Drosophila melanogaster: one gene and its partners. The protein of the gene in region 2 interacts with the protein of the main gene of each other region in a biochemical or structural test. Each region holds a gene or a part of one and is shown on either strand. Other genes may lie near its edges.

The links.
Region 1: the proteins of ci (region 2) and Su(fu) form a complex in vitro, tested with the Drosophila melanogaster proteins (2 studies listed by BioGRID).
Region 3: the proteins of ci (region 2) and slmb form a complex in vitro, tested with the Drosophila melanogaster proteins (one study listed by BioGRID).

What each region holds. Positions count from the first base shown.
Region 1 is NT_033777.3:12,688,088-12,693,097, forward strand, and holds Su(fu) (suppressor of fused), read right to left. Parts: upstream 3,382-5,010; 5' UTR 3,352-3,381; coding exon 1,945-3,351; 3' UTR 1,786-1,944; downstream 1-1,785. Other genes in the region: kar (karmoisin), read right to left, coding at 1-1; Arp1 (Actin-related protein 1), read left to right, coding at 3,735-3,782, 4,556-4,620, 4,683-4,857, 4,917-5,010; CG31347 (uncharacterized protein), read right to left, coding at 4,032-4,463.
Region 2 is NC_004353.4:52,318-59,678, forward strand, and holds the start of ci (cubitus interruptus), read right to left. Parts: upstream 4,015-7,361; 5' UTR 3,552-4,014; coding exon 3,514-3,551; intron 68-3,513; coding exon 1-67. UniProt on the Drosophila melanogaster protein: Has a dual function as a transcriptional activator and a repressor of the hedgehog (Hh) pathway. The full-length ci form (ciFL), acts as an activator (ciA) while ciR, its C-terminally truncated form, acts as a repressor. Involved in segment polarity.
Region 3 is NT_033777.3:21,123,201-21,129,162, reverse strand, and holds the start of slmb (supernumerary limbs), read left to right. Parts: upstream 1-1,677; 5' UTR 1,678-2,168; coding exon 2,169-2,225; intron 2,226-3,778; coding exon 3,779-4,001; intron 4,002-5,962. Other genes in the region: Obp93a (Odorant-binding protein 93a), read left to right, coding at 14-213; CG5793 (uncharacterized protein), read right to left, coding at 270-611, 670-816, 946-1,042, 1,109-1,185.

The DNA of each region.
Region 1 (5,010 bases), on a different chromosome or scaffold from region 2:
TGGCTGCTGGCTAGGATTGGATTCGGAGTGCTGCCTGCAAATTTATCATATAGTGTATGAGGTTTAAGTGCATTGAATCGGTTGGACGCACTCCGCGTATCAGTAAGCCACACTGCACCCAAATATGCCGAAATGATACCAGTGCCACTCGCATTTCCCCATCCCGGAAAATAATCGCCGACTGACGCGGAATTGGCTGGTCAAATATTTGGACACTTTTATCGCTATTTGCGCCCCCGACAAATGAAAATGCAGTTTACATTGTCGGCGAACCAGAGGCGAACTAAATGAGCAACAAAGGCTAGATCTTAAGGGAGAGTTACTAGGGAAGATCTCAGTTTCGACTGGAGATAAGCTGAGGGAATTGCTATAAAGGTATAAAGATATAAGGGATGCCTTTTACTTTTGAATATTTCAAATAACATAAATTGTATCTTTAAATAAGTTACCCTTCTGTTCTTTAGCATGTTAGTCACTTATTTAGCCAACGAAAAGTTTAAATTGGATTAAATTGCAAAGCTCAGTTAACGAGGAACCATAAAAAAAACTGGTTCAAATTAATATCCAAAGATATCATGGCCACATAACTTTCGATTCCGCCTCCAATTTCCCTGCTTAGTATCTGGTCAGCAACATTGTAATGCACTTTTAAAGCTGCGCAGAACACAGATTGCATTACAAGCGATAACTGAAATTCGTCGCATTTTTCGATTATGCATGCCCTTGTCGAGTGCACTTGAGGGGTTCGGGGCGCGGTAGCTCGAGGTGGGTCTACTGTCTATGGTTGACGGTTCATTGCAGCGTTCCGTTCTGCAAACGTTTCTTTTTCCCGCCGCGGGGCAGCCGAAAAAACCGCATCGCCGCCACAGCGAAAACTCAATGTAATGCGAACCGCTCGACGGAATTGTAGTAAAAATAAAGAAATACAACTAAAACCACTGTCGTTCTTGGCGGCTATCACCGAAGTTCGCGCTATCAACGCCATGCACGTGCTCGCTCGACACCCAGCTCAATCCCAAGGGGGGTCACTGCCTAAACCGAAGGTCATCCACCGGTCGATGGGTTGGCCCTTATGTAATCGCCGGCGTTTGGACGAACTTCAAGTCCGCTCCTCTACGTACTTGTAAGCCGGAACTCCAGTCGCTGCAGGCAGACGTGCGATTCACTTGAAGACTCTGGGAATCAGATGAAGCCGACTCGAGAATCGCGGGAATCAGTGGTCGGGTGGAGACCTCTCGAGCGAGCACACAACCGAACGCTTGCGTCGTCGGCGGCGGAATGAAGAAAACTGAATTATTTTCCACGAGCTGTTTTTGCGAAAAATCGCTCGCTCACTTGATGAGGGGCGCCTAATCGGAGAAGCAGAGCAACTGTTCTCTGCGGTAAACAAAAATTCACCTAGGCAACGCTCAGACAAGCGATGCGTCAAGGGTTTCCCATCAGCCAGGCTGATGATGCAGCTGCTCCAGGTCCAGTTCCTCGCGCAATCACATGATCCCGGGCGGGATTTTGTGTTCAAATTGAATGCTCTTCTAATTGATCAATTCCCAGAATTAGAAACTGAAGCATTCGGCGGTCCACTGCGCAATACCATCAATTGGTGGTTAGTCGGTGGCGATGACTTCCACCGCCTGCAAGTGGCCATATCCGCCGCAGCCACCAAAGCGAACTGTTCCAGTGCTCAATAGCCTGACCCCAACTTGACTCATCCGGCGAATTGTTCGCCGCTCCTGGCGCCGGCGCTTCCTCTTTTCATATTGCGATCAAAGGCCCGTCGAGTGGTTTCGGGTATATGTATGTGTTTGTATATTTTGACTGGACTCCGGCGAGGAGCAAAGGCCACGTGCATTGTGTTAGATGAGATGTATAAATGTAAAACTTACTCGTTAGTGGAAGATTCAATTCGATTAATTTAAATAACTACTAGCTAACCAATGGACACCATCACATTTTCAGAGGAGCAGCGTCGAGCGACATGGGCAGCACAGGTTCCGGCTGGTCGATGATCAGCTTCAGATTCTTGTCGGGCCACTCGAGCTCCAGTCGCTCCTTGGGCTCGCATTTCTCGTCTAGGCCCGCGCTGCGGAAGTCTTCCATCAGGCGCGGCACCAGTTCATCGGGAATCAGGACCTGAATCCAGTAGCCCAGCACGCCGTACGGTTCGTTCACTGTCACCGCCGAGCCGGTGACGGATTCCGCCACCAAAGTGAGCGCCAGATGCTGAGCCTTGAAGGTGAAGTGGCGCCCATGTCGGATGCGATCCTTGATGGCCAGTAGGAGGTACTTGGCCACACCAGGTGCGAGGGTAATCTCAATACCGTCCAGTGAAATGCAGTTTGGTGCCTGCGCTTGAAAGTCCAGGGGACAGGACTTGTGCAGCGAATTGCTGCTCATCGACATGGATTGTGGAAAGCTTGGTTCCTCGCGTTTCATTTGCGTATCCGTCAGCTGCCGATTGTTTTCGTCGTTGGCGCACTTCTCGCTCAGCGCCTGGAAATCCACCTCCTCCTTCACCTCCTTGGTAGGTTTCAGCTCACGGAACGTAAAATCTGCATTAACGCCGGCCAGATCGGAACCCTGCTTCTCCAGATCGTCCTGTAGGTTTAGCAGCGTTTCGGGAAACAGTTCGAAGACGCTCATCTGGCGATCCATGTTAGTCACCAGCCAATCACCGCCAGTTTGCATATCTTGGCGAAGGAAGTTGAGCACACCGCGCCCGTTCCAACGCGATGCCTGCTCAAGTTCGTCGTCAAAGACGCCGACGATCTGGCAGAAGTCCACCGTGCCCGTGGGAGTGTCGATGCAGCCCAACTGCGGGTCCTGGGCGACGAGCAGGTTCTGTAGCTTGGAAGTGGTACTGCCATCCAGACTCTTGCGCCACGGGATGTTGTCTCCGAAGCACAACCCGTTGCCTGTTTGAAAACAATAGCGTCCGATGGCCTGCAACAGGTTCGCCGGCCAGGTGGGCGGTCTTTGGGGCTTTTCCGGGTTCTCAATCTGCTGCTTTAGCTCTATTTCTGTTTTGGCCAAGCGAAAGGTCAACTCGAACCCCATGCCAGACCGAGTGACGCCCTCCTCGCGCAAGTGGACTCGCTCGTCCCCGTGTAGGTCGCTGAGTCCGAAACTAATGTAGTGCCAGTGCGGCGGAACGTTCCTATCCACATCTCCGGGATAGTTGTACATGCTAATGTAGTCCAACGGATCCTGACCGCCCAGCCAGTACTTGAGCAGTGTGGTCACCTGCAGCGGGTTCGGCTGGTTGGGGTACACCTGCCCGAGGTGGTCTATGATGGCCTTAAGGCCCGGCGGAGGCTTCACCTCAGGTTTTTTGTCCAAATTCGCCTCGGCCATTTCATCCAGTTTGATCAGTATGACCTCAGTTGGAACGTTGCGGAATACCACCGCTTGAATATACCATGAATAAAAATACTGCCATGTAAAGTGCGGATTTGACAATGGAAACTTACATGAGTTTCTTTTAAAACCATTATTTATTTTTAAAACCTTTTTTATAATAATTATTACTTTCTTACTTTTTTCTGCTTATTTTTAAAATGTAGAGAAAAACAGTGAAAATATATATCCATATAGCTTTAAACCACCACCATGTAAAATATTGAGTATTTCTTGCCGTGGTATATTTTTACATGCTGTTTATTTCTGCCAACCACCTACGGTCACCCTGTTGACCAACTATTTAATAGAAAATTTGCAAATTTTGATAAACGCACAAAATGGAGCCTTATGATGTCGTCGTCAACCAGCCCGTCGTCATAGATAACGTAAGTGGAGATGGGGCTCATTAAATGCGGGTAGCTTTGTGCAAATCTAGGGTTCCCAAAGTTTTAGCCAGCAAACAGTGACATCACCTACCGCCCGTCCCTTTGTCAACGAGCTTTCAAGCCGTCTTCAAATGGCCAACATGACTAATCCCAGAGAGAATAGCTCCGCAAACGCCAGAGATGGTTCAATTCGGAAGTGAAGACAGCGAAAACGGGGAATTTGGTCTATAAAGCTTGCGTGGAATCCCTTTATCTGCCCAGCACACGCACACACGGATATCTGCGGGCGGTGGCTGCATCCCTGCTGTTGCGTCCCTGCATCTGGAAGCCTCTGTCGAAGTCCATTTGGTGCCCGTACTCCATTGGGTAAACCACGGGAATAGACTCCACATGGGAGGCAGCGGGTCGCTTTAAGCGCTCCAGTTCGGGATCTATCTTCACACCACACTTGCCCCTGTATGTGCTGAACATCTTGGGGCGCAGCAGCTTGTTGTAGGGATCGCGGAATTGATCTCGGTACTTCTGGCACTCCAAATAGAAGGAGTCCACCTTGTACAAGCTGCCGTAGCTGATGTTGGTCAGTCCAACTGGCGGTGCGAACTTTAGTAGCGATTCCCGTTCGTATTGCGAATTCTTTGACACGGTCATCATGTCCACTTCCGGCACACTAAAGGATTCCATGTTGACTATATAGATTTCCTGTTTGCACGTTGAATTTTAAATAAAATAAGCTGACGCAACTAACTAAATGTATTCCACATCACTTTTGACAGGGCTCCGGTGTGATCAAAGCCGGCTTTGCTGGTGAGCACATTCCAAAATGCAGGTTTCCCAATTAGTAAGTGCCGTGGACCACTCACGAACCTTAAGAACCCCTAGAACTAATGCCTTCTCCTGCAGCATTGGCCGGCCCAAGCATGTCCGAGTGATGGCTGGTGCGCTGGAGGGCGACATATTCGTTGGACCCAAGGCGGAGGAGCACCGTGGCCTGCTTAGCATCCGGTACCCCATGGAGCACGGCATTGTCACCGACTGGAATGACATGGAGCGGATATGGAGCTACATTTACAGCAAAGTAATTTGTCCATAAATGTTCCATAATCTTAACTAAATGTTTTAAATGGCATTGACCAGGAACAACTGGCCACCTTCACGGAGGATCATCCCGTGCTGCTGACCGAGGCCCCGCTTAATCCGCGCCGAAACCGCGAAAAGGCAGCCGAGTTCT
Region 2 (7,361 bases):
TAAAACAGTAGCCGCTGCAGCGACGGCAGCTGCTCTCCTGGACGCTAAAAACTGCAATTCAGAATACCTATAGGAAATAAAATAAATTTTTTGTTAAATTTTGTTTATCATCTATAAGTGCGTAAGTACTATAAATCGTCTATCATCACCCAAAAATCTCGTATTTGGGTTTACATTTTTGTAATCATCATTTTTACTTAGGGAGAAAGAAACGTTTGACTTTTTAGAGTATATATTCTTGAACAGTCGATCTAGCCATGATCGTAAGTCCGTCCAAGAGCCAAGGAACTCTTGTATATATATATATATGCCAGAAGTTCAGATGAATCATGATTCATGATTCTAGTGACGCCTACACTGCTAAGTTTGTTTCCGGACGCTCCTACACCCAAAGCCCAAAAACAGCACAAAACAAGAGAGAATGATGTAGATGAGCTCCCCGACTATCAGATACCCGTTGTTAATACCAGTGTGAATGTGAATTTAATCATTTTTCTGAGATATCGATAGATATTAAGGAATATAATGACAAAAAATTTAAAAATTGTTTAAAAGTGTAGGCGTGACGGGTTTGGCGGCTTTAGGGCGTTGCACTGGTCATGTAAAAAATTTGTTTGGCAATCGACAGAAATTCTACGACCAAAATTGCTCTCTTTCCGCTCGCTCACGCTGAGAGCGTAAGAAATCTAAAAATAGAATTTGCTTGCTTGTGTGAGTAAAAACAAGAGACGAGAACGCGTATATGTGTGCGTGTTGTGCTAGAAGACTATTTTCGGGCCGAAATCAATTCTGATCGAAAAAACGAATTTACATTGTACATATTAGGGTAGTTTTTGCCAATTTCCTAGAAATATGATGAAATTAAATAATTTTTTTAAAATTCGCGCTTAATTAAAGCTTTTAAAATTTGTTTGTTAAAATCGCCGATCGAATTAGCTACCGTTTACACATATATATTTATGTTTAATTCTAATTTGTCTCTCATCTGACAATTTTTTAAAAGCGAAATATTTTTTTTTGAAACACTTTTAATGTTAAATGACTTAATAAATATAGTAAATAATTAAAGGAAGTACAATAGAAATTATTATAACTACTGGAATTTCATAAATTCCATAAGAATATGATAACTGTTTATTGCAAAAGTCTAGAATTATTCTAGTGTCTTTGCTTTGGTCATATCTTGAGGCACGAAGTGCGGACACAAGCACTCAACAATCATTGCCTAATTAATTTTTACACGCCGCAAGACGAATACTCTAATGACAAATATTCTAAATATATAAAGTCATTTTTAAATTTATTTTTGTGATAATATGTACATAGATTTGGCTCTTTCTAATCTATTTTCATATAATAATAACGTTAAGGCAATGCAAAACAAGAATTTTTCACATGGTGCCAATTGATCAAAAATAATATAGATTTAAAGTCAAAGAACTTCTAAGGTGAAGGGCATATTTTGTCAAATTTACAATGCATGAGCATACGTGTGCACACATACAGTTGTCTGCTATCACTTTATGCGATGAAAAGAGCTGTTCGCTGTAGCACTCTCTGCTCTCTCGCTCTCTAACAAAAATTCGAGAGAGCCTGGAGCCACCTCTAGAGCCACGGCGAAAAAATCGTGTGCCAAAAAATTGTATGGCGTTACGCATCTTGTTATTCTAGTGTCTTTGGTAGAAGGTTCAGATTAAGCATACCCATCCATACAAACCGATGTTTCCACGCCTACTTTAACGAACACAAACCGACCAAACTGCCAAGCCCACACTTTTGCAAAATGTTTTGATTTTATTTAATTTGATGTCAATGTTTATGGTAAGCCAAAAACACTTCGGCCCCTCCTAACAATTACAAAACACCCAAAATGCTAACGCCCATACTTCAGTAATTTTTTTTATTTTTCTCATTTTTTTCCCCAATATCTATCGATATGCCAGAAAAATTATGAAATTTTGGACTCTCCATTTCACTAGCTGAGTAACGGGTTTGTGATATTCGGGAAAATTGACTATAACAGTCTCTCTTGTTTTTCATGAAGTCTTGCAAATTTCTATCGATTCGCTAAAAAGTTTTTGTATCGCTCTAACGCCCTCAAACCGGCAAGCATAAGCAAAGACATTAGATACATGATTATAAGAAACCCCGCTATTATAATCCGATTCATTTGATATATAAAAAAATTCTTGATTATTAATCTCAGACATACAGATTCAAGTAACTTCTCGATCAACCAACAATAAAGTTAGAGTCTAATTTTTTTAAGTATTTTAATGTATTTACTATTTATTATTATATAATTTTTATGTAAACGCCAACATAATTTTCTTTTGGCTAGCTTCGATGTTAACATAGCAATATCTTTGAATGCAGCGTTTTAAATTCAAAATTAGATTACGACTTCTATCGATATTTAAAAATTATTTTTTCCACGCTCGCTCTTAACCGCAGAAACGGGCACGTCCGCAATTTCAAAAAGAGAGAATGCTATAGTCGAGTTTCCCGACTATCAGATACCCGTTACTCAGCTAGTGTGAATGCGAAATTGCACAATTTTTCTGGGATATCGATAGATAAAAGATAAAATGAGAAAAAAAATTAAAATATGTTGTCGGCAAATCGATATAAACTTAAATTTATAATAAATAATAAACTAATAAATTTATGAAAAAAATTCCCAACAATTTTTTACAAATGTGGGTGTCGGAGTTTTGGGCGGTTTTAGGGCGTTGGCAAAAAGTTTTTTTTTAGAAATCGATAGAAATGTAAAAGACTAATCAGAATGTGAAAAGAACAACACATTTTTCAAAAGTGTGGGCGTGATAGTTTTGCGCTGTTTGTGGACGTTAGAGTGGGCATGGCTACTTGCGTCTTTGTCTCTGTATGCTGAATCTAAACCTTCTAGCTTTTATAGTTCCTGAGATCTCGACGTTCATACGGACAGACGGATATGGCAAGATCGACTCGGCTATTGATCCTGATCAAGAATATACATGTATGTATATACTATATATGGTCTAAGACGCTTCCTTCTGCCTGTTACATTCATTTCAACGAATCTAGTAACGGGTATAAAAATGTTTATTATTTATTGATTAATCATAAAAATTATAATAATAGTAATTATAATAATAATAAACATTTTTATACCCGTTAATCGTTATTATTATTATTCTTTTTTATTGTTACCATAGTTATTATAATTATTAAAATTATTATTATTATTTTTATTATTATTATTATTGTTATTATAATAATAATAACAATAATTATATAATATATATATAATTATATGTAATTATATATAATTATTATAATAATAATAACAATAATTATTGTTATTTTTTATTTTTTTAATTATTTAATTATTATTATTTAATTGTTATTATTTAACTTACACATTTCTAAACATTTCATGGACTGTAATCTTAAAATTCCTCGTTTTAAACAAAAATGTAGATATTTTTCTATTGTAAGGCTTACTTCTCGAATATGCAAATAAAAACTTACGCAAGAGGAAAATATGTAGGTAACGCGTAGGCGTCCATTTCATTAAAGTTAGTCCACAACAAGAATGACGTCGTTTTATAAATTCAATTATCCTTTTAAATAATATTAACCGTCGGCGTAAACATTTTCAAAAGATTGGTATTTCAAATAACGGCACGCATAAATTTCCACTTTTGATCGGCAACTTAAACAATTTTAAGGAAACTCTTTGATTAAAAAGTTGGTTTTAAATTTTAATATTTAATATTCATATCACTTAAATATTATAATGGTGTGAGCTTATGCGCTCGGCTTCCTAAGTAATGAAGGGTATCGCCAAATCTCACACGTATATTCATAAGATTATCAGTCCCGAAGTAATATATTTATCACTAAATATTAAGTAGCGAACAATGAAAATCAGTTTTGTAAGACAAGTCAATATTTTTTGAATGCTGCGTCTTATTCCTATGTTTCTTACGAGTGGACTGAGCGACATTAACACTAGCTGTTGCAATGCTTCGTTAGTTTAGATGGAGCAGTTCGGATCTCCTCTCACACATGCCATTGTCCAAACACAGATACTTGTACAGATTCTACATAGATACGTGTAGGTTCACAAACATAAATACAATACAGTAACAAGTGCATTGGTGATTTAAATGTCTGTGTGTACCTACGGATCACGAACAGTCGGCGAAGGCGGGCAGATCGAAGATGGCCACACAATACATATACTCGTACGTGAGTTAAGATACTTTTCGATGCCAGTGCTGTTAATATAGATATTTTTACGCTAGTAGTTTGTGTCTCTCAGTGGGTAATTTTTGTCCTCGGCGATACAATATTATTTTTAAGCAAAAAACGCAAAAGTTATTGGCAACGCCTATCTCTATATACATATACACACATACATATATATATATATATAGATTAATCTTACAGTAGCTTGTACACCCGATTCAATCTTGATTTTGGCTATCTCGTTGATATTTGTACCCATTATACCCAGTATATCCAGTATATTAAAATACAAACATGTATTTGTAGTCGTATTTATCTATTATAGCCTTGCCCTTGCGAATAGCATTCTTGATGAAAACATACATAACTGTTTTCTATCCTATCAAGACTGGTTTGGTGTAATATTTGCGACACAGTATTTTTGCACTCAGTGTACTTAATGCATCGAATTTTTACCCCTATCTTATGGGTATATTGGGTATACTAGTTTCATTAAATAGTATATGATGTTAATAAGGTAGTAGACTCGGTAATCTAACAATCCAACAATTAAAATGTTTCCAACCCCTTGGGTATGTGGTTATAGCAATGTTGATGCTTAAATAAATGTTACTTCTGGCAGCGCTTAAATACTTGTTTATAAATTTTGAAAATTAATATTTCGATTGCAACACTTCGCCCCTTAGTTCTGTATTGGTCAATTCAACAACACTGTCTTGAACCAAATTGGATTTATAATTTCCGACACGATATTACGTACGGGCATAACTAGATTGATTCGGCTAGGGTCAATCAATTTCTTTTATCTGATATACGGCTTTAACCTAGACGACATTTTGCGGTCTAAAGACGATCTAGGTGAGTATAACGACAATGTTTTAAACAAAGCAATATAACAAAGTTTATAAATTCATGTCAATCAATGTTCTACTTTAATGATGGAAACGCGTCTATTTCCGAACTGCATTAGTAATTTTGGCTGTGTTTATTGAAAAAGGTATTTAATAGTAAAGACACACTACTTAAAGAAAAATACAATTTCGGAGACTTGTTTGTTCATAACGCGTGTAATTAAAAAAAAAAGCGACTTGAACTATTAAATATAATTGTGCCTAGTACAAGATAGCTTTGGCAAGCCACAGTTTTGATAAAGCTACATAATTAGTCGTCAAATTTAGTAAAATTTATCGAATAAAGTGGAGAGCATAATTATTTTCATTATGCCATTAATATTCAGTGAATATGGCTGTCCAAGAATATTCATATGTACTTTTTGGTGGCATCTGTCTTTTAACCCCGTCTTTAAAGGTGATTTTAACTAGTTAAGTTTTATATTAATGGGTAGGTGATGAAGTTATACTGATAATTTTTGGTGTTTTTGAAGAAATAAACTGATAATATATTTAATCTCAAAAAGAGGTATTTTGCAAACCTCCAAGGGTTTTGTAATTTGTGATCGTTCGAAGTGGGTATGACTTTTTTTTGGTACATCACTTTTAAAAGTCACTTTTAAAAGGGTGTGACAGTCTTCGGCAGTTTGTGGCCGTTATATACTTTGCATCGTATGTATATATGTACATATATTTTATACCGAACAAATATTTGTTATGACAAAATTTTTTGTATAAATACCATAGTATATTTTATATTATGTTACTATACTTTAATGCCTTCTCGCCCGTGTACTCGTAGTGGTTATAATATAAAATAAAAGATTCAAAAAGTTTGTATACCCAGTTTATTTCAATAATAATAAGGAACATTAAGAAAGCCACATCCTTTCTTTAAAAAAAAATTCTGTTTTTAATTTAAGTATGTAAAAAAAATGTTATTTAGAACATTATTACAATATAGGTATGTACATATGCTCTTCGAATGCCTTTGAACGGTTTTATATACATATGTATATTTACATATGTAAATAAAAATAAAAATCTTTCGAAACGTTTTAAGCAAAGAACTATAAAGCTATGTACATATGTAAGAGATTAGAAAAGAAATTGCAGCTCACATTATATTATGCAGCTCAATTAATATTAACTCATGCTACGATTTACAGGGCTTATATTTACATACATAAATACTTTTTGATACGTCCATTGACGAACACGTACATATACATTTATTTGTATTATTTGTATTATATGTATTTATTTGTATTTATATGTTCATATTCATATATATGTTCATTCATTCATATATTTATGTCTATACGAAGAAATTTATTTATTAAAGTTATGCTTAACGCCGTTGTACCTGTATCTGCAAAAATTTATATTTTACAACCACCGTTGACTAGTCTTGGCAATGAATTTCCTAACTATAAAACAACTCTGTACATACATACATATGTAGATGTGTATGGTGTATCCTTGTCCGGCATTAAAACAAGAAAAATAACATTTTTCCTGCAAGTGCACAGCAGGATTGAATCTGGTATCGTCAGATTCTTTTGATACCCATGCGTTTGTATGTATATTGTATGCATCTATATACATACATACTTGTGTGTGTATGTGCCAGGCCTTTTGTAATTTAACGTCTTACTCAAAACTCTATGAAGAAGCGGACACATGCTGTGCTTCTACAGCTTACACATACAAACAAATCTGTATGTTTGCTTAACGTACATTTGTGTGATTTTCCAGACCCTTTATGAATGTATGTATATGTGTGTATAAATATCCGCACAAGATAATCGTATTTGCAGGTACGTCTGTACGCTTCTTTAAGCGTGTATATGCACCCATACATAAATATACATAGATATATAGGTATGTATGTATGTTTGGTGGTCCCATTCCTTTTTATAAAAAACGTTTTGTCGATTCTTGGAAACTACAAAACCAGAAATTTTGTTATACATATGAACATAAATACATACATATCTCTAAGTATTATCATAAAAATAAATACATACACATATGCTCAATTACATACATATGTACGTACATTTTCGCATCCAAACTTATATATATAAATGTATATATGTAAATTGTAAATAATTTCAAACAACTTTGCACATCTTCATAATTTGCAAAAAATAACGGATTGTGCGTAGGTCCGTAATGAAACATATGTATTCATATCTATTTAGTATTATTAGTATTATTTAGTGTATTGAA
Region 3 (5,962 bases), on a different chromosome or scaffold from region 2:
TAATTCTAAATAGCTAGGAAGCGGGTGCAGGAGTTCCAATGGATGCCCAAGAAGGGCGACTGCGACTTCTATCCTGCCACCTTGCTGGCCTGCGTCATGGAAAAGGTCTACATCAACTGCCCGACCAGCAAATGGAAAAACACCAGCGATTGCACAGCGATGTGGAAATATTTGGTTGCCTGTGATGATGTGGCCAGTAATAAGAAGAAATAGCCATTGCACATATCCAATTATATCCGAATATAGCATCAAAATTAAATTCTTCACTTTTATTCAGCCTCCACTTGGAAGGTCAATTTAGCGAGATCGGCCATTCCACACTGAATTACATCGCCTGCCTTGAACGCATCGGCACCATTGGGCGTTCCGGTAAGGATCAGATCGTTGGCCTCCAGGGTCATGTACTTGGACACGTAGGAAATGATGTCGGGCACCTTGAATATTAAGTCTGCAGTGCACCCGTTTTGCTTAAGGTCTCCATTGACGGTGAGCCAAAGCGGCAAGTTGTGCGGGTCCGTCACTTTTTCGATGGGTATAAACTGGGACACGGGCGTAGAAGTATCAAATCCCTTGCCCAAGGTCCACGGATGACCGGCCGCCCGAGCTGGTCCCTGAAATTGATTATTGATTACAACAATGGCTCTTGATTGAGTGCATCCATCTTCTTACCAAATTGCACTGGGCAGTTAGATCCAAAGCCAGGCAGTATCCTGCCACATAGCTCATGGCATCTGCCTTGGATACGTTCTTGCAGGGCTTTCCAATCACCACGCCTAGTTCCACTTCATATGCCACCTTGGTAAAGACTTTTGGTAACTGGGGGAATACAAAGTTTAAATCACAAGAGGGATTTTCAATTTCCATTCGTTTACTCTCCAGTTTATGGACTTTTGCTATCTTGCTACTATCTTAATGTTATCTTAATTAATTCTCTGTAGAACTCACCACAATGGGCTGACCCTCCTGGAGGTACGAAGATGTGGGCTTGAGGAAGACGAGCGGCTCCTTGGGCACGGGAACGTTCCTGGCCAGCACAACGTCCCTGCGACGGAAGAAAGTATTCGTGGATTACCCATGCAGACCCAAGATTACTATGACACTGAGTTACATGTAATTGAGAGCCACCCCCACAATTTTCTTGCCATTGCTCAAGAAGTTGGCGGCATTTTGGTTTTGGCACGCCATCCTGAGGATTTGAGTTAGTTGCACTGTGAATTTGAAAAAAAATGTGTATTGTAGCTCGATTATGAATGCTCAAGGAAATGATTAGAATGGGAACAGCTCTGCGGTCGAATGAAAGTGAGCATTCGGCGAGCTGGACGGCACTTACTTGCGCAATATTTATTAATTTAAAAGTGGGGGGTTATCTGGAGAGTGGCCCCCCGCAACAAGTTTATCAATTAAATAACAACAGAAAACGGAGAGAGCGATCGAGAAATCAGCTGATATGGATGTGCAGAGTTGTCAGAGCTGGCAAAGTGTGTTGGGTAGCCATACAATGCTTACAATTCATAGCTCTGAAAGGGAAATAACTTAAAAACATTTCATAAATAGTTGTAATTGCAACAACCTGTTCGAAAATTTAGAGCAGAAACGACGAAATTGTGTGCTCTTGCCGTATTTTGCAGCACTGGCCCGTGGCAGTGTGACCGTTCATATATGTGACAGATATCGATAACGATAGTGCACACTCATCTTTGGCTTTGTGGTTTCGCAGTCCGTATTTGGGCGAGATCTGGTAAAAAAAAATAAAATTCTCCGTGTGAAAAGTGAGTGTCCAGTAGTTGGCGTCATCTGAATAAGCAAAAACAAACAACGTGCAAGCCGCCAGGAGCGGTGAGAATAATGACTTGCATACGACATTCGCTCAATTGGTGAGGGACCTCGGCAAGTTGAGTTTGCCTTTGCCATCGCGTTCGCCTCGCCGTTTTCGCGCATCCCGCCTGCGGTCCTACAGAAACCGAGACGAGCAAATTGTAATTTTCCTTCGACCTAAAAATTATATGAAATCGCTGGCGAAAAGCGATTTGCGAGACGTGTTAACGAAAAATCAGCGAAAAACGCTACGTGGTGCGTGAGTGCGAGTGCGACGGAAAACTCTGGCAGTGAGCGAGTGAGAGAGAAGCAAACGACGAGCCAGTAAACTCTACAAACACACAAACAACACAATGATGAAAATGGAGACTGACAAAATAATGGACGAAACCAACTCCAATGCACAGGCCGTGAGTTTTCGCTAAGTTACCTGCTTTAAGCGGGATCTCTGCCCTTCTAAATGCATTAAACACACCGATTTAAGTACATATTGCCCAAGGTGTCGCCTCAATAGACCCACACACATACACACACACAGGGGCACGCACACCTACGCCACCTATGCGTGTTGTCACACACTGGTGTGCGTGTGCTAGTGCTTTATTTTCGTATATACTACAGATTTTGCACTCGTGCACTCTATTAAATTCGGACACTGTGGCACATAGCCATCCCATGGGCTATAACCTTAAACTCTTGTGGATATTAGACATTAGCCTACTTATTCATCGCCAGCATCATCATCATCATCCCCTTTGTTCAATTATCGTTGCATATATATGTATATATCCCCAATCTCCGGTTTTCGAGTCTTAAGATTTCGTTAATTGGCCTCGAGTTTGTGTACACAATTAATAACAAACGCTGTGCACAAAGTACGGCCGTGTACATTTCAATCAGTACTTATTTAATTGTGGAGCTATATACGATAGGCGGCTTACTGAAGGTCAGTTCGCGTAAAACCATCGAGTAATGGGCCAAAAAAATCGTTTTTTATTTTCAATTTTTTCGCTCGGTTTCGCTTGAGTCATCTGGGCTTTAATTTCGCCGGATTCAAGGTGGAATCTGGTTAATGAGACAGATGGCTTCTTGGTAATAGCAGCGAAACACAAACGAGATATTATTAACTATCAATTAGAGGATATATACATTCATATTGCTTATTGCCACAAACCTTTCTCATAGCATAATCAGTGCATAGTTTAAGTAGCATCCTTCAGCTCAAAGTTACCAGGCAAAGGCAAACAACTAAAGCTTACAAAAACCATAATACGGCAATTAAATTAAGGCAACCGACCCGAATACAACTTAGTATGTTTGTACATACATATTCACAACATTTACTACAAATACTGGCAAGGTTTTCGCATTGCTGGCATTGCAGTTAACTTAATTACTCAAATCACTCACACTCGAATCGACCAATTTGTTTACTTCACGCCGATAAAATTGTTTGCCGAGATCTTTAGCGTTTAATTGATGACGTTTGATTTAATTGGGGCCCATCAATGGGTATGTCTATATATAGAATGCGCATAATGAGCATGGAAGACCAAATAAACATCGATACAATTATTATTTATAAACTGGCCGTGTGAATGATCTGTTTCTACCGCTGCGCTGCCAGTCGCGTTTTTCATTCTTCAGAAATCCGCTTTGCAAACTCTTTCGCCGCCGAATAAAAAAAAAATGAGAAAAATTACGAATAGAAAGAAACGCTCAGCGTAGTCGAAGCTAATTGCCTAATTTTAAGCCCCCAGTTTGGGTCGTCGGTAGCCTAAACTAAAGAAAAGTTGCACAACCAGCAGCTACCTACTTTTCCAGTTTTAACGATCGCCCCTTGACATCGAAGCACCCCATAACACATCATCGTCGCCCCACAACAACAACAACAACAACAAAAACGAAACAAATGCAATCTCATAATTAATTTGCTTCTTTATGCCACTTTTCACCCATACAGTTCACAACCACTATGCTGTACGACCCGGTGCGCAAGAAAGACTCATCGCCCACCTACCAAACGGAGCGGGAACTCTGCTTTCAGTACTTCACCCAGTGGAGCGAGTCGGGCCAGGTGGACTTTGTGGAGCACCTGCTGTCGCGCATGTGCCACTATCAACACGGACAGATCAATGCCTATCTCAAGCCGATGCTCCAGCGGGACTTTATCACATTGCTGCCAAGTGAGTGCCTGCCGATACACTGGCTATTGCCACCTGAGTCCAGTCGAAGTGGAGAAATAACTTCCGTTCATACAGATTGATATATTACGTTCACAACAAAGTATTAGGCCAAGACTGTAAACTGTAACATGTTAGCCAACGACTATGAAAATATGAACGTTAAAAATGCAGTTTTAGCTGTGGATTCAATAGTGGTTATTCTACAAGTGAGGAAATGATGAAGTGGTATATCATATATTAATCTGCATTTTTGAAGCTGTTAGATCTATTCCTAAATATTATAAATATTGAACGGATAAATTAGTCATGCTAAGTCATTCCAAGAACGTGATTTATAACCCAGTTGTTATCAACAGCATGCTTTGTATGGGAAGGTCAGTAATCCCAGTTGACCAATAGAGAAACCAATTCACGCAGCCGATAAGAAGGCAATAACAGCTGTTAGGGTGCGAATTCCACCATCGGAGTTTGACCGTTTTCCTCCTAAAATGAAGGCTCAGAAATGGCTCATCCACCATTAGAATCTCAGGCGAGTCTAGCAGCACAAAGCTGAGTTTAAGCCCTCGACACACGCAATTGGCGAAACAATAACAAACTGCAGGTACAAAGTTGAACAACATGAAAGGCAAGCCGCGCTCTGAACCCGGTGCGATTCGTTCCGCGTCCCCCGACAGACACCCTTGCTCCTCCGGATTGTTGCCGGGCATGTTTCCAACTGTTGGAGTGGAGAGGAGCCCAGAGGAGTAGGAGGAGGTGAAGCCAGTGGGTGGGCTTTAGGTTGCTGGTTGTTGGCTGTTGACTAAAAGGTCGTTGCTTCCATTAAACGCGCTTTACCGGAACACAAACAGAACGAAAGCGGGAACGAACCTTGTATATTATTCATAAGAAAATGTGAATCGATTTATTCGTGGCATCGATTGTTGTCGTCCAACAGATGTTAACTAATAACAAAACTATGGAGTGTGCTACGGGTGCAATGGATATGATTGGGTTGGGTATGGGCAAACAGGTTAACTATGAGTATGAGTATGTGAATAAGCGATCAGTTCGCTTATCAATGCATCAATACGTGAGCGTATCGATGACTCAAACAATCAACAAGAGCTGTGCGTGCAATTCTAGCCTTTGCAAGGGCATTTATACAGAAAACGTATATTTACTTTCGGTTCGTTTGCTCAGATATTCGCTGAAATGCATGCATGCATGCATACCTGTTCTGAAATAGCGAAAAAAGTCTCTTTAATTTGCAAGCCTTTCCTTCCTTGAGCCACCAGTCTGGAATAAGTTCTTTTGAGGAAGTCGTCTCATGCTTCCGTTGACTTAATCCCCGGCGATGCACTCCTTGTTCTTGCTTTCTTGTTATGTAATGACAGTACACTATGACCACTTGGCTTTTTTTTTCCAGATATAACTAATTCATATATTGCTTTAAAAGTACAAAGTTCATGCAGTCACTATAAACATAGCAAGCCATTATGATATGCTTATCAGAAATTAGAATGAAGAGCCTGATTAAAATGTTATAAACTGTCAAGTTTAAATTGAGCTATTAATTTACTTTGCTTACCAAGCATCTGATTAGTTATTCACCAATTAATTGACTAATTTATCCCTTAGGAGCATAGTTTTAAATATTTACTCAAAAGAAAATCGAATGCTAGCACATACGTTTGTATAACTTCCGCTTAGTTGGCATCACTGAGTGTTCTAGAATGAAAAAGAGTTGCAAGTAGGTAACATTGTCCCCTCCATTTACATTGTAATGCACTTCAAAGGCAGCTAAAAGGTGGTGGGGGGGACAGTCGGGTGGACAGAGCGGACGGACGGACGGACGGACTTGCTCGCAGACGGATAGACACTCTTAAGACCGTTAGTCGCCGGCGACGGCAAACAAGTTGAGCCAAATCGCTGCCGCCCGCCAAACAGCCTGCCATTCCGAGTTATGCACATTTTTAATTGTG